Drosophila melanogaster: one gene and its partners. Changing the gene in region 1 together with any one later gene gives a genetic interaction. Each region holds a gene or a part of one and is shown on either strand. Other genes may lie near its edges.

The links.
Region 2: of GlcAT-P (region 1) and repo, changing one enhances a phenotype caused by changing the other (phenotypic enhancement), as found in Drosophila melanogaster (one study listed by BioGRID).
Region 3: of GlcAT-P (region 1) and Tb, changing one suppresses a phenotype caused by changing the other (phenotypic suppression), as found in Drosophila melanogaster (one study listed by BioGRID).

Annotation. Positions count from the first base shown.
Region 1 is NT_037436.4:11,194,478-11,199,546, forward strand, and holds the start of GlcAT-P (glucuronyltransferase P), read right to left. Parts: upstream 3,060-5,069; 5' UTR 2,923-3,059; exon of another isoform or gene 2,762-2,922; intron 2,399-2,761; 5' UTR 2,090-2,398; intron 1-2,089. Other genes in the region: Plod (procollagen lysyl hydroxylase), read right to left, coding at 3,949-4,233, 4,293-4,727, 4,789-4,915. UniProt on the Drosophila melanogaster protein: Involved in the biosynthesis of L2/HNK-1 carbohydrate epitope on both glycolipids and glycoproteins. Enzyme has a broad specificity.
Region 2 is NT_033777.3:18,234,334-18,240,244, reverse strand, and holds repo (reversed polarity), read right to left. Parts: upstream 4,054-5,911; 5' UTR 3,749-4,053; coding exon 2,826-3,748; intron 2,411-2,825; coding exon 1,495-2,410; 3' UTR 643-1,494; downstream 1-642. Other genes in the region: CG7156 (uncharacterized protein), read left to right, coding at 1-75, 135-353.
Region 3 is NT_033777.3:26,654,701-26,658,127, reverse strand, and holds Tb (tubby), read right to left. Parts: upstream 1,689-3,427; 5' UTR 1,600-1,688; coding exon 1,585-1,599; intron 1,524-1,584; coding exon 687-1,523; 3' UTR 597-686; downstream 1-596.

The DNA of each region.
Region 1 (5,069 bases):
TCACACGTAATTTCTGCCAGTGCACGTCTAGTACAAATAGCCACCCACTGCTGGTGCCGCCCCAACATATTGCCGCACCTCGGGGAGCCTTTGTTAATCATTTTGCCTCTGCTCGCAGATTTCGCACGCACGCACATGGTCGTGGAGCGGAGGAGGGGTTTAACGGAGGTGAAGCTCCAAGTGGGGGGCACTGGGCCAACATTTGCATATGTGCCTTCCAGAGAGAGGTGCACCATTATCCATCCACCTGCCCCGGGCCAGCTCAGCTGGTTTCTTTTATGATGATTGCCGGGATGTAGACTTGATATAGGGCTTCCAAGCCCTTGAAGAAGTCCTCTTCATAGGAAGCCAATGACATTTCAAGCGACGGACTCTTGTTCTGGGTCACCAAGCTGATGGAAATCTGATGTTTAAACTTTAACTAGTTCAACTAACAAACACGCTAAACATGTTTATTCCAAAAATAGAAAGCTGCTTAAGAATTCTTTATCATTACCACATGTTTCTTGTGGTCCAGTTGGTAAATTTTTGCGAGGCATTCGCCTGCAGGAAACATCTCGAAAATCTACAAACAAATAAAAAAGAACTTCACACAAAAAATCAGGAACATATGCAAAACTATCCACTGGAATAATAGTTTTAAATTGTGTTACACTTTAGATTTTTATTTGCCTAACCTAAAACTTCTAGCTTAATCTGGTATATATGTAACTGGTTTTTATCTTTAAGAAGCATTATACATCTTAACAACAGAACTTTGTAACTAAAATTTAATTGTGTTCACCTAATAGTAATAAAATAATATACCAAAACACGTAAGCTGCAAAGATATGGCATTTATTTAAATGTACTACAAATTTATGGGCCATATAATCAAGTGTGGAAACTTGCGTTCTCGAACCTTAAGCACTGAACTTGCCACCATATGTTTTTCCACTGTGAGGAAGTTTCACACATGCTTGGCCACACCCCCCCCCCCCCTCCCCCAAACACACACACACCTCCCTAACTTTTCCACAGCCTTCCAGCCCGCTTCGTTCGCCCACTTTTTTCACAACCCATTAGCAGCTGCTCACGGCGACGAGCAAGGAAAATCCAGCACCCGCTAATAGAAAATATCAAGCAATCGGCACACACATGCGAACTTAACTCCACGGAAAAAAAATAAATAAATAAATACGTATGTATACCGCATATAATATATTGATAGTGAGCAGTTTTGACAACTCAAGGCTAAGACTCGGCTTGGTTTTCAGGTAATATGCAAATATATAATTAATATATTGTGTGAGAAGACACATTTAGTGAAGCCAGCTTCGAAGTTACTGAAGAGCAGTAAAGAATTATATTAACTACCGTAACTTAATATTTTAGTTAAGTTAAGTTAATATTATAGTACCGTAATTTAATATTATTATCCAATATTCATATTTCTTATTGCCTTTGCTATAAGTAGTTATAAATTATGAAAATATTTGTTTAATATTAAATATTAATAAATATAAATAACAATGAATGTTTTCCTAAAGTAGCAAACACTTTTTAATTTTAAAAAGTAGTACGCTTAAAATAACTTTTTCATGATTAAAAACAGTTCGATTGAACTGAAAATGTTTTTGTCGTATCTTTCAATTTTACCTATCCATTAGGATACTATTTGTTGACCATGTTCAATGGCAAAAATTTAAGTGCAATCAATCATGAAACGTTTTCTTAAAGTTGCAAGCACTTTTTGTTTTTAAAAATTAGTATGCTTTCAAACTACTTTTTCATCATTGAAAACAGTTTAATTGGAACTGAAAATGTTATTGTCGTATCTTTAAATTTTACCTTTCCTTTAAGATACTATTTTTTGACCTCGTTCAATGGCAACGGTTTAAGTGCAATCAATCATGAAAGTGAATATGCTTGAAATGCTGATAATAAATAAAATTTTTTCCAGCTAGTGTTTCCTGTTTCAAGTCAAATGATTTTTGGTAATTGCGTTCGATACGATTATGTTTGCAAAGTGGAGAAAATGGTATTTCTCACCGTGTGCGGTGAAATTATAAAGGGGTGGGGTGGGCATGTGGCACTATATCGCACTCACCTGGAACGTGGAACTCCACCTCGCCATTTGGCTGGATACCGGAAATCTCCGTTGGCTGCTCATCAAAATCGGGGATACAGCCACTTTCGGTTTTTAGTGCCGACTTAAAATTGTGTTTGTATTTCTATGGATTTTCCAGACTGTCTGGCTGGGTTTTTCTTTCTTTTTATTTTTTGTTTCAAAAGAGCAAATGTTTTCAGAAATGGAAGTACCCTTATGTGTCCCTGTTGTTTATGTTGTTGTTGCTGCTGTTGTTGTTCCAACGGTTGCCAAAGCAACAACAAAAAAAAACTTGGCCAACAGGAGCGGCTGAAAGCAGGAACAACAAAAACATCAGGTGTGAGAAAGCACACACATACACATGTGTGCACACATAAGGCAGGACTCGCCAAGTGTAAATAGAGTAATAAAAAAATGTAGGGAAATGAAACAGGAAAAGCAGGCGGAAGAAAAATCGAAGCAAGTCCTGCGACAGAAAGAGAGAGCGCCACAGCGAGCAACAGAGAGTAAGAAAGAGAGAGAGAGCGAGTAAACTTTCGCCTTTTTTGTTTATTTCACAGACACACACACACACGAACGCACGCACACAATTTTCCAGGATGCGGCTTTTTTAAATTGACCGACTCGATAAATTTGCATTTCTCTTCGCCACTCATTTATTGCTCTCCCTACTTATTTCGGTTTTTATATCCAGCGTCGATTTTTGTTATTTTTAAACACGCACTTTGCGCAACTAACTGTAAATGTACCGCACACCACCCGCACACGAAGTCTGCAAACACTGGAGTCTTCTAAATTTCTCGAAAGTATTCGTCAATTTCAGTTGCATTTACCCAACAAACTTGTTTATTTCCGTATATTGTTTGCTGGCCTTTAAGCCAATGTCCGCTTAGTTTATTTAGTTCTTCCTAATTTATAAAAAATTGTGACGAACCAACCAGCTACGCGGACGAAAATCGAGCAATAACATAGAGCGTGCTTCGCCAAGCGCTTAAATACACTTTTCTTTTGGAGTCGTTCGAACTCGCGCAAGTTCGAAGCCTTGTGCTCGATGCAACAACAGTACGCAGTGGTTCGACTTCCTAACATTCTTACGGGTTCTGTAATCAAGCTACTCTGTTAGCCTCTCATATGTTAAAATATAAAAAAATATACATTAAAATAGAATATGTTTTTTGTTGAATTTTAAATTATGGCAGCGTGTAAATCTTTATTTAGTCAAAATAAAATGTTATGTATGCACATCCTGCTTTTTTTTAGAAATATATTTATCTTTGATTAAAAAACTTTAAAGTTCATATAGATTTATTTATTTTAAAACTCACTAGAGAAATTTTGGTGTGCATTCTGTCAAGTGTCTGCTGTAAATGTTTGCTAACAGCAGAAGTCTGCACAACCGCTGCTGTTAGTTGCGTGGGGGGCAGCACTGTTGAAGGTGCTATCCCGCTTTCGCAAAACAGCTGTGTTGGTTCAGCATTTCACGTTAGAGAACAATATTCTTTCGAAAGCGAATTAAATTGAACCACGTAAATTAAATATTTGATTTGAAATTATAAAAGATAAGAATTTCTCCAGACAAAAACAAAACCAAATGTATTTCATTTAATAATTGAATTAATTTATTCAAAAATTGAACACTTTGCACTTGGTAAAAAAGCTTATAATTAACTTAAGGCTGCAACAGATTCATCAGAGTATCCTAAAGCTATCGATCTCAAAGTAGTATGTAAAATCATCAGAAATAGAAGGCCGATGCCGCAATTCCATCAACATAAATTGTTCATTGGGCTTAGTATGCAGTTCTTTGGAGTGGCCGATATGGCAGTTTGATATAAAGAGTACGACTTAAATTAGCTACCCTACGGATCGATGAAGGAAATCATGATGTAACGCGTGCCATTGGTCACTAGCAATCCCTCGTGGTAGTGAGTCAGTCGACCCGGGTGCATCAGCATCCATCCCTTCTTCGTATCGGTCACGGAGCAGTTGTAACGAATGAAACGACAGCCACCGCCCTGATAGTCAATACCCGCCCGGTTCATCGCAATGTTGATGGTGTACGTGGAGGAGTCGTGGTGGGGTCGCAGAGAAGGCTGTTCATCCGGCCGATAACGCACCATGAAGTTCATCAGCGCGCGTGGAGGCTACAAAATTAGTGAGAATATTAAAACAAAATCTTCAAAATGATAATTCTTTGACTCACATTGTGGAAGTAACCCGTAAAGGCGCGCTCCTGCAGCGGACGAACGAACATTTGAAGAAATTTAAGATAGAGCCGCTCCAGGCCCACCTGCTTCATGTGGATATCCCTGGTGGGCACCGCCTCATATCCGCCCTCCAGCCGATTGTCGTTGTTGCTGCCGTCCGACCAACCGTTGTGCGCCTCCATGATGGCCACCAAATCGTCGCAGAACGCGTCCGACACGATCTGGAACCAATAGACATCCGGGCACGGCTGCTGTATCTTGTTGCTCTCGTTCAGCTGCAGTGAGTAGTTCGGATGTATGTACTTCTCCGTCCAGTCGATCTCGTTGCTAAACAACGTATAAAAGTCCGGACGTGTCACCGTAGTGTTGAAGTCATCGGCGTTGACCAAGTGACCGAATATGCGCAGATTGCTGGCGTACATGAAGATACCCTGGACAGAAGAGTGGACACATTAGTAACCAATTGAACACGATGTTCTGTCAAACACTTACCGCATTTCGGAGTGACTCGCACATGGCCATGTCGGGATCGAATTCCTTGTGCTTGAAGGAGATGGCATCGAAGGCGGTTTTCTTCACCAGATATATGCTCGTTACATGGGGCACATTGAACATTCCACTGGAAATGGGCGAACGAAACGCAAGTGACGAATGAGTTAGTCAAAACAGGGCGAACGATAAAGTCGAGAGCGGAATGATCTCGATGTCCAGCGGATTTGCAACAATGTTGCGAAAATGGAAAGTGACGTCGCACCGTCGAAAGCCCCCAACTA
Region 2 (5,911 bases), on another chromosome or scaffold:
CCAGAAAGACCGCTCACTTTTCGCTCGGACTGGTGGAGCTACGGCGTGGTGCTCTATCAGCTTCTGCTGGGAGTTGTAAGTTTTGAGTTCTCGATTGAAAATGTTTGGATAATAGCAATCTGCTTTCTTTCCAGCCCTACAAAGTCACGCATCCCGGGCAACTGGACCTCTATGGTTGTGTTCAGTATCCTAGTGAGTCGTTGGAGATTTCCGATCATGCCAAGGATCTGCTGGAGCAACTGCTGCAGCTTTCTCCGGAGCTACGTTTGGACTACGACCAATTGCAGGCTCATCCATTCTTCAAAGGCATCGATTGGCAGGCGGTTTTGGAGCAGGGAACTGAGTCCATGTGAAAATAGGCACTATTTGCTTTGCTATTGAGTCCGTAAAGTATTTTCTTATTTCGTACTGTACCTGAAATCCCATTTGTGATTCCTTGCTCAGTTCTGATTGGCATTGATTTTGATTACTTTCAAAGAATCTGAAGTCGCTCCATAGCGATTAATTATGTTGTGAATCTGCTATATTATTTTCTATGCATTACTTTTAATACTTGTCTTCGAAAACAAGTGTATTAACCATCAGTTTTGTTTTTATGAGTCTTTTATGTTGTTCCTTTTTTGAATTGGAAGCTGATCAATTATTGGTACAAAATACGATTTATTTATACGTCTATTATATACATTTGCAAAGTGTCCTAGTTTATGTAATTGCTTACAATTAGAAATTAAACTAAATTGAATGTAGTTGTAACAAAATTTGCAAGCCATTTTACAAAATTAGTAAGTAATAAAATTTGTAAAGCCAAATGAGCTAGTATACAATATAAAAAGCACTTTATTGTCTAACTACAGCAAAAACAGCAAATGGAACTTAGTCTACGAGTAGAATAACTAAAACTAAGTTTGTTGGGCAACGAAGCTTTCCAATTTGGAGGGAGGTCACTCGTCACCCGTTTTGGTAAGGCACATTTGGAATGCATTCTGGGGGCGGGGCTCTCGTTGCAGAGCCCCTAGCCCTAGATTAACCTAGACTTAGACAGGCATAATAACCTCATTATGATTTGGCAAGACTTGTGGATTCCGTTGTTGTTGCAACTTGCGTCATTAAACCTAAAAGGAACCTATGGCAATATGAAAACAGTGGCTAGAAACTGTGTGGGACTGGCTAGAAAAACTCCAAGGGATTGGAAATATAAACTAAAAAAACAATATTATCAAATTAAATATAAAATTTGTGGACTCTCGCCAAATTTTTTGAAAGCAACTAGTTTTAAGTAATCCGATGATGAATTCTACTACTTATGAGGCTTTATCTTTGGGAATCCGCTTTTCTGGAGCCCCACTTTCAGTCGGAGAAACACAGTTGGAAATGCTGCACACGCCACGCCTCCATCCCTTCAAAATGGCCGACGGAAACGGGCGTTCGGCGTGCTGATGGGCGTGGCCCAGCGTCGCTGGTGTTGTTGCTGTCGCCGGTGTGTGAGCATTTCTCTCAGTGCAAAAAAGGCGGCAGGACGTAGCTCTGTCCCTGCTGCTGCTGCTGCTGTTGGGAGACCTCCTCGCTCTTGATCACAGTCTGCATGCCGCCGCTGTCGTTGTCATCGCTGCTGGTGCCGCCCGCGGATGCAGCTCCTCCCGTCGCCGTGGTCACATAGTGCTGGCCCTGCGCCTCCACCAGATGACAGCTGGCGCCGGGACTTAGCTCCAGACCACCTCCACTCTGATGGCACTGCAGGTGCACGTATTTGGCCTCCTCGGCGCTCAGGTACTTGCCATTGAGTTGCTGCTGCTGCTGCTGCTGCTGTTGGTGGGCATGGACGGTGACCAGTGTGCCGTCGGCCAGTTGCTGCTGCTGGGCGGTCTGCAGTTCCGCCGTCTGATAGCTGCCGCCATTGGCCACCGACTCATCTCCGTTTCCGGCCACCGAACCGGTTGTGGCGCCCATTTCCATGCGCGTGGGACTACCGTACTCGTAGTGACGCATCGGGAAGAGCTGGCTTTCGTGCACATAGGCACCGTACTGGCCGGAATAGGTGCCATACGGACTGGCCGCCGGCGAGAGCAGGCTGAACTGGGGCGTCAGTTCGTAGGGCGTCTGGTAGCTGGTCCAGCTGTCCATGCTGCCCGGCGGCGTGACCGTCGTCGTCTGCGGGTAGCTAGTGAATGGTGGGGCTAGGGTTCCGGGATTCAGTGTCGCCGTCGGCGGAGTGCTCGTCTTGATGTAGCCCGTCTTGCGCGGTGGCTCGTGCTTGCGCCACTTGGCCCGTCGGTTCTGGAACCACACCTGCACACGGGATTCGCTCAGATTCAGCTTGATGGCCAGCTCCTCGCGGGCGAAAACATCCGGATACGGAGCACGTTCAAAGGCACGCTCCAACTCCTCCAGCTGGTAGGCAGTAAAGGTGGTTCTGAAGGTAAAAATGGAAAGTATAGAGGATTAGATGAAAGTCTGAATGGGATTCATACAGTTAGTTGGTCATATAATAGGGATTAAAAAAAGGGAAAAATGAAAAAACCCATAGTATCTATTTATATTACAAAAAAGTTCTAAACTGAAACTATATTTTAGAATATTAGAAAATTCTATAGAGATAACCATGTTCTGTGGATCTATCTATCTGCTATCGGTACTCATTATTTAATAATTAGCCCCCCAGATTGCACGGGTTTCCGTGCGAGTTGCTAGCAATGTCCTTACTCCAAATTACTCATACGCCCCGTGGTCACGGTCATAAATAGCAAGTGCTATCATCTTGTGCCACATAATTTCATTGATTTCCCGTCGTTAAATTAATTGACAGCGTAGCAGCTTCGACCGCTTACCTCGTCTTCTTCTTCTTGATGCCATTGGGATCGCCCTTCTTCTTGCTGCTGCTTCCGTCCTTTTTGGCTGCAGGAGCTGCCACGCCCCCCGCTGTGCCCGCCGCCCCCTGAATGCCGACGCCAGCGGAGGAGGAGGAGTTGGCGTTGCCAGTGCCATTGGTGGTGCCATTAACCACCGTGGAGGAACTACTTGGCGGAGTAACTCCAGCACCACCCGCCTCCAACTGCGAACACATCTCATCGGGCTTCTTTAGCTTGCCACCAGCGGATCCTCCGTTGATCATGACGGGCGAGGAGTCCTGGAGCAAGCCATCACTGCCATGATCCAAATGGTCCAGATGATGCGGACTGCCGCCGTACAGATGCTGCAGCTGCTGCGGCTCGTACTGATCTTTGGGCGACGAGGAGTAGTCCAGCTTGCCATTGAGCGGATGATAGTCCAGGATGCCCACCAGCTGTTGCTGCTGCTGCTGTTGCTGCTGGGAGGATTGCTTGTGCAGCAGGATGCCATTGTGGCTGGGCGGGGGCGTGGCCGTGTAGTGCTGATGATGTTGATGATGATGCTGCTGCTGCTGCTGCTGCTCCACCAGTTTTTGCGGCGCACTAATGTACTCGTACTTCTGGCTGGGCGAGTAGCAGCCCATCTTGTTGACAAAATCCAGCTTGGTCACATAGTTGGGCGATCCTCCAGCGCCGCCAGATCCTGCTCCTCCTCCTCCGCCATTCGGCAGTATGGTGTTGCAGTCGGGCAATCGTTGCTGCTGCTGCTGCTGCTGCTGTTGGCTGCACAACTCGTGGACACTGCCCAGCATCACGGGATGCATGGCCGTTGTGGTGGGCATCAGTGGCTTGGCGCCCAGTGGATTGAGTGGCCCGCCGCCGAACTCCCCGAAAATGGGATCATCGAAGCTATCGTGTTCCATTCTCCTCCACGACTTTAATCCTTGGAACGCACAGTAACAGCACACAAGACACACTAACTAGCTAACAACACTTTTGCCACTGCGACACTTTCAATCCATTTAGTGTATTATTTGGTTGATTTTCAACTCGATTATCGCTGCTGAGTTTCCAAATCAATCAGTTGTTAATTGCATTTGGCAAGCACATAACTGGGCTGCTGTTGCTACTTTTCTATCGGTTAGGATGTTGAATATATATATATATATATATGTATATATGGGAGTAGAGCCGCACGCTCACCGCTCGAGTCTTTGGCCTTAATTGACTCGGCTACTGGCGATGATTGTCCTTTTATACCGGCGCAGGCGGCAGCGCAGCAGCAGCGCTGGCAGCGACCAATCGCATCGCTCCATCGGCCGCCACTATCGCCGTGCGAGCGGGACGGCGCATGCGAACGCCGCTCTGTGCGTTTCATGCTGGCGTGTGTGACTTTTCCGCTTGCCCAGCGATTCGACGATTTTCCATTCAGCGGGGTGTGGTCTCCCCTACTTTGCGATTTTTTCTTCTTTTTTCTGTTTTTTTATTTTTGACTGGGTCTAGCTGCCTGGGTCCAGTTTTTGGTCTTCAGCTTCGCGGGCACACGGCTACCAGCAGATCGAGATGTTCTGGGAACGGAAGAGCACGACGGGATGATGGGGTCCTGGGAACCGGGACTTGCATCTCTACTGGCTCTCAGTTCTTAGAGCGGATTTAAGGACTCTAATGGCACGCTGATCTTATTGTTATCCTACTATTGAATTATGTTTTATTTATAATGAGGATATAGAATCATGAAAGCATAGTCATATTAGGAGATATCATATAAATGAACTGATTGTGTTCTGTTACCATGCAGTTACAAACTATCGCATACCTATTAATAATAATGTATGGTACAGAAGATAATCTATGGTATGATCTATGATTCGATATATGGAGATAAGGTATCTATAAGATTGGGGGCCGAAATAAGAAGAATGTTGAACGATTTGAAGGATTAAGTTTATGTCTGGTATATATACTATACTATCTTTTCAAATGTTTTCGATTTCAGAACCGTTTATCAAACTAGTGGGAATAGTTATAGCCATATTAAAGCATTCAATTTTGGCGAAGAGATGAAAATTACTATGCTGCTTTCTAATCGTTCTAAAGATCGTATCACAGATAAAACCTAAAAAGGGGGGTTTTTAACATCCACTATATTTCCATATGCACTTATGTATGTACAATCCCAATTTAGCGGCTTCTTGTTGGCAATCCATTGATACAGATTAATTTCGCCCAAAGTTGAGAGAGCCCATCTATTTCGCGTCCACCTCATGGTCATCGCTATCCGTAACAATGCACCTTCATCGTCACACATGTTGGACGAACAATTAACTTCTAGCCGAGGAATTCCGATGGTCGTGGTTCCAATTGGACTCATGAGGGTGGTTCCATTCGAGGTTGCAACCCCTGTAAGGCAGCGACTTGGTGGCACGCTTGTGACCTTCTTCTTCCACTTCAGCCCGTTTCCACACCCTGATCGCTCGATCTTCCCACAGCGCGTGTCACCCTCTCAAGGATTGGCATGCTCCCCTTTCCTCCAGTCCGCTGTTGCGTGTGACCTTTTGGCCAGATGCTGGTACTTCGATCGCGCCGAGGTGGGCACTTAGTCAGGGGCTAAGTTATGGCTCATTTGGACAGATCCGAAGATTTCACGGAGCATTTGAATGGGAAGTGGGAAGAAGGCTGCCGAATCATGTGGGCATTGCAATCGAAGAGGGTGAAAGTGGGTAGAGCTATACATTCATTGGGATCGGTGATCTTTAAGAGTTACTTATTTAGATATTTACTTAAAAAACCCATATGAAAATATTTCTAACATATTCAATGGACAAATCATCATCAATCCAATTTGAAGTGCAAATTTGGTGATAATATTTGGAAATATATTGGGTGTTGAAAAATTTATAGCTTCGTTATTTTTTTTTTTACCAAGAAAAAATAAGTATCTGATGTCAAATGAATATTAATTCTTCAAAAGCAAACAAAAAACATTAACTTTTTCTTAGTTGTTAAGGAAGTTAACGAGCAATTTTGGTGTCTAAATTAAGACAAAGTTGCACAATCCAATGGCAAAGTTCTGTCCTCAAAGACCG
Region 3 (3,427 bases), on another chromosome or scaffold:
ATTCTTAAATTATTTTGAGGTATGCCGTTGAGAGGACTTCTGTTGCCGCGCAAGGACTGTGGCGTAACAGAAAACAAAGCAAAGCTTTCTGGTTTAGAAGTTTTGTGGTTTTCTTTGCTTGCTAGCTGAAATTTCACGACGGTCAACAAAGGAGTGCGCTCCAAAATGTAGCTAGTAATTTTCATTTAATTCTCAGTGTGGGTTTCTTTGGCTGCAACAGTGGCAGGACCAAATTGCCACCGACTTGACCCTCAAAAGGGCACCCATTAAATGTCGCGACTGGTCGCGGTCATGAAGCGCCAGAAATTGGCTCTGTGCGGCGGTAATTAGCCCAGACCAGTTGGCCCTGATCGCGTGTATGGTGGTAGTACTTTAGGACGGGTCAACACTGGTCGTCGGTGACGTGCCATAAACCGCTGGCAACGAATCCGGTGTCAGAGGGCATGCACTTAAATTTACAACCCCTTTTAAACCCAAACCCTCCAATGCCAATGCGCTTTTAGTTTTAATTGCTGCTCAGGCTCTGGCCGATAGTGGCTACAAGGCGCTGAAATGACTTCCTGCATTAATCTCGACAGCAACAATATATCGGGCATACATTAAGTTAAGTTTATATTTTATACGGTAGCACTTAAAGGAGAATGTGTGAGCTAATTCGTAAATAAGAATGTGGTCTTGCAGGTTTCCTACTTGACCTTGTTCACAGGCAGGTACGTGGCACTAGGCGCTGCGGCTGGTGGTGGAATATATCCTGCCGAAGGAGCCTCCAGTTCGGCGCTTACACTTCCGCTGGAAGGCCGACGCTCATCAATCAGCTGCACCTGCTGCTGTTGCTGTTGCTGCTGCTGCTCTTGCTGTTGCTGCACTTTGGTGGCAAAGTCCAGGACTGGTGCCACGCCTCCGTTGTAGGAGGTGCTGGCTCCACCCAGACGCTCGTACTCCTGCTGAATGGTACGCTGGGCATTGATGGCGTCCTGCTGGGTGCGGTACTTGACGAAATGCACCTCCGGCTTGCTGGCGCTCACATGGTTCAGGTTCTGCAGCTGGTTGGCCAGGCTGGACAGATCACCCTGTTTGGTCAGGACATAGATGGCGGTCTGCTGCTCGGCAGCCTGCTTGGCCAAGGCCAGAGCGGCGTTCTCCAGACCCTTATTCTCGGGGGCCCTGATGAAAACCACACGGAGGTTCTTCTTCAGAGTAGCAGCCAGATCACTGACACTCTTATTATCCTCAAAATCGGCCTCGGGAGCGGAGTAGGTGAAGAACTCCTTGTTAAATTCGGTGTTTACAGGAGCGTAGTTAGTGGAATAAGATCCCCCGGACAGGGAACCACTAGAAAGGGAACCACCAGAAATGGAGCCACCTGAGATGGAGCCACCTGAGATGGAGCCACCTGAGATCGAGCCTCCAGAGATGGAGCCTCCAGACAGAGAGCCTCCCGAGATGGATCCGCCTGATCCAATGCCAGCTCCATAGTTATAGCCGCCTACATCAGCGCGAGCCACAGCCAAGACAGCAAAAATCTGGCAAAGAAAGCTCAGGTTAATCCAACTATTTCAAACTAATAATACCATTTAAACTTACAATAAATCCACGCATATTGATAGCCCTATCCTAGCCAATATTCGATCCAATCTGTTAACGTGTTGGGCACGCCGGGAGGTGTAAACTGTTAATGCTACAGCCCATCTTGTCGAGGGGCGTTTTTATAGCCCGACCCTAATCAGGTCCAATATAAGATGCAGATTTTCGTGATGAGACAGCGGGTGTAGCCCATGCCATTGATGCTAATCCAGCACAAATACCAATACCCGTTGCAGGTGACGCAAAGCCCTCAAAACTGTATCCGCCAGCATTTGTTTGCATAAATTCGAAAACGGTTTGCCAATTTCGTTGGCAATGAAATGCAAAAACAAACCACGACGGAACTGGATGTTGGTAGGCCAAACCAGAAATTATGGCCACTTAAGTGGAGCAATGCCATGCGATTTGCATAGCTGGTCGTATTTAATTAATTGCAGTACAGCCATATAGCTGGCGAAAAAAGGAAGAAAATAAATCAATTACAGTGTCCACAGAATTCTGCGAATGATTGGTCAAATTCAATATTAATTAATTCAGTCAATATATCTTTCCGGCAATTGCAAATTGGTAAACCGTGGCAGTGAATACTGGCTATGATGGATCACAAATCAATCGCTAATCGAGCTGCGACTCTCTGCCGACTGTCCACCGTATCTAGTTTATGATACATAATTTCGATTTCGTAAACACACTGACTAGCAACAAAAAACAAAAGGGGCGCAGACAAAAAACCTATTTATGCAAATTAACCCCATATCGCTTGTGGCATTTTTGTGTGGTTTAGGGATTTGTTTTATTGTGTTTTCAATTTGCATATTACTGGGCATTTATGATGGCATTCATAGTGGAATTTGATATGCTTGATTCATTCATCGATTGCCCAATTGAACTTAAGGTTAGAGCCATTCGTTGCATACTTATAGGGCTGCCAGCAGTGGCTGTCAAACTGTTACGCCGGTAATGAACTTAGCCCCAATGTCTGTTGGCCCTGTGGCGCTTGCCATCGAAATGCAATCAAGCTAATTACGGAAATATGCATTTTTCAAGCCAAACATGAACATGCAACTCCGTGATTGACGATAAATGCCCAATTAAGCCAATTACGAGCGGTTGGTAGCTGGCAGTCGCGTGCAACATGTGTGGCAGCCACAGGCTACCAACTGCTTTTGTAATAATTTGATTTAAACTAAATTTATCAAATTGTTTTTCCTAATTGAGTGGATTTAATGATGAGCGATCGTCTGTCGCTCCCTTAATGAACAATTTTCCGTTTGATTTGACCTCTAATTAGTTGGCCAGCTGAGGTGGAAATATTTGTTTGGCAGCAGGACACGCATGCAATTAATATAAATAGTTCCAGGGGCACTTAATGAAGTTTTCGCATTTGCATTGAAATGCAAAACAACTCGTTCCCTGTCGCTCTCACTGGCATTTGGCCCTGTTTTTTGGCCTGAAAGTAAGGAATCGCCGGATCCGGCGGAATGGAATGGGCCTGCTGCCACTTTATAGTGCATAAATTATTCAATGAACCGCATGCCAGGATGAGTCGGCGGCGACAAAAGAAGCTCCGCTGTCAGTTATAATTTCACACGCATAACAGTTGCCGTTGTCAGTTGTGGTGGTGGTGGTAGGAAAGGTAGCTAACGGTGCCAATGGAGTTTCCTGTCGACATACACTGCACAAATTATTTTAATTTGGCTAAAAGCGCAAGCAACAGCTTATGGGAGAAAGCTATAATCTTGTTGGCGAAATTGCTAAAAAAAAACGTCTTCATTGTCTGTATTTTGATTGGCATTGAGAAAACTGTGCGAACTTTTTTGTCAGTGTTCTGTTGCTGGCTAAC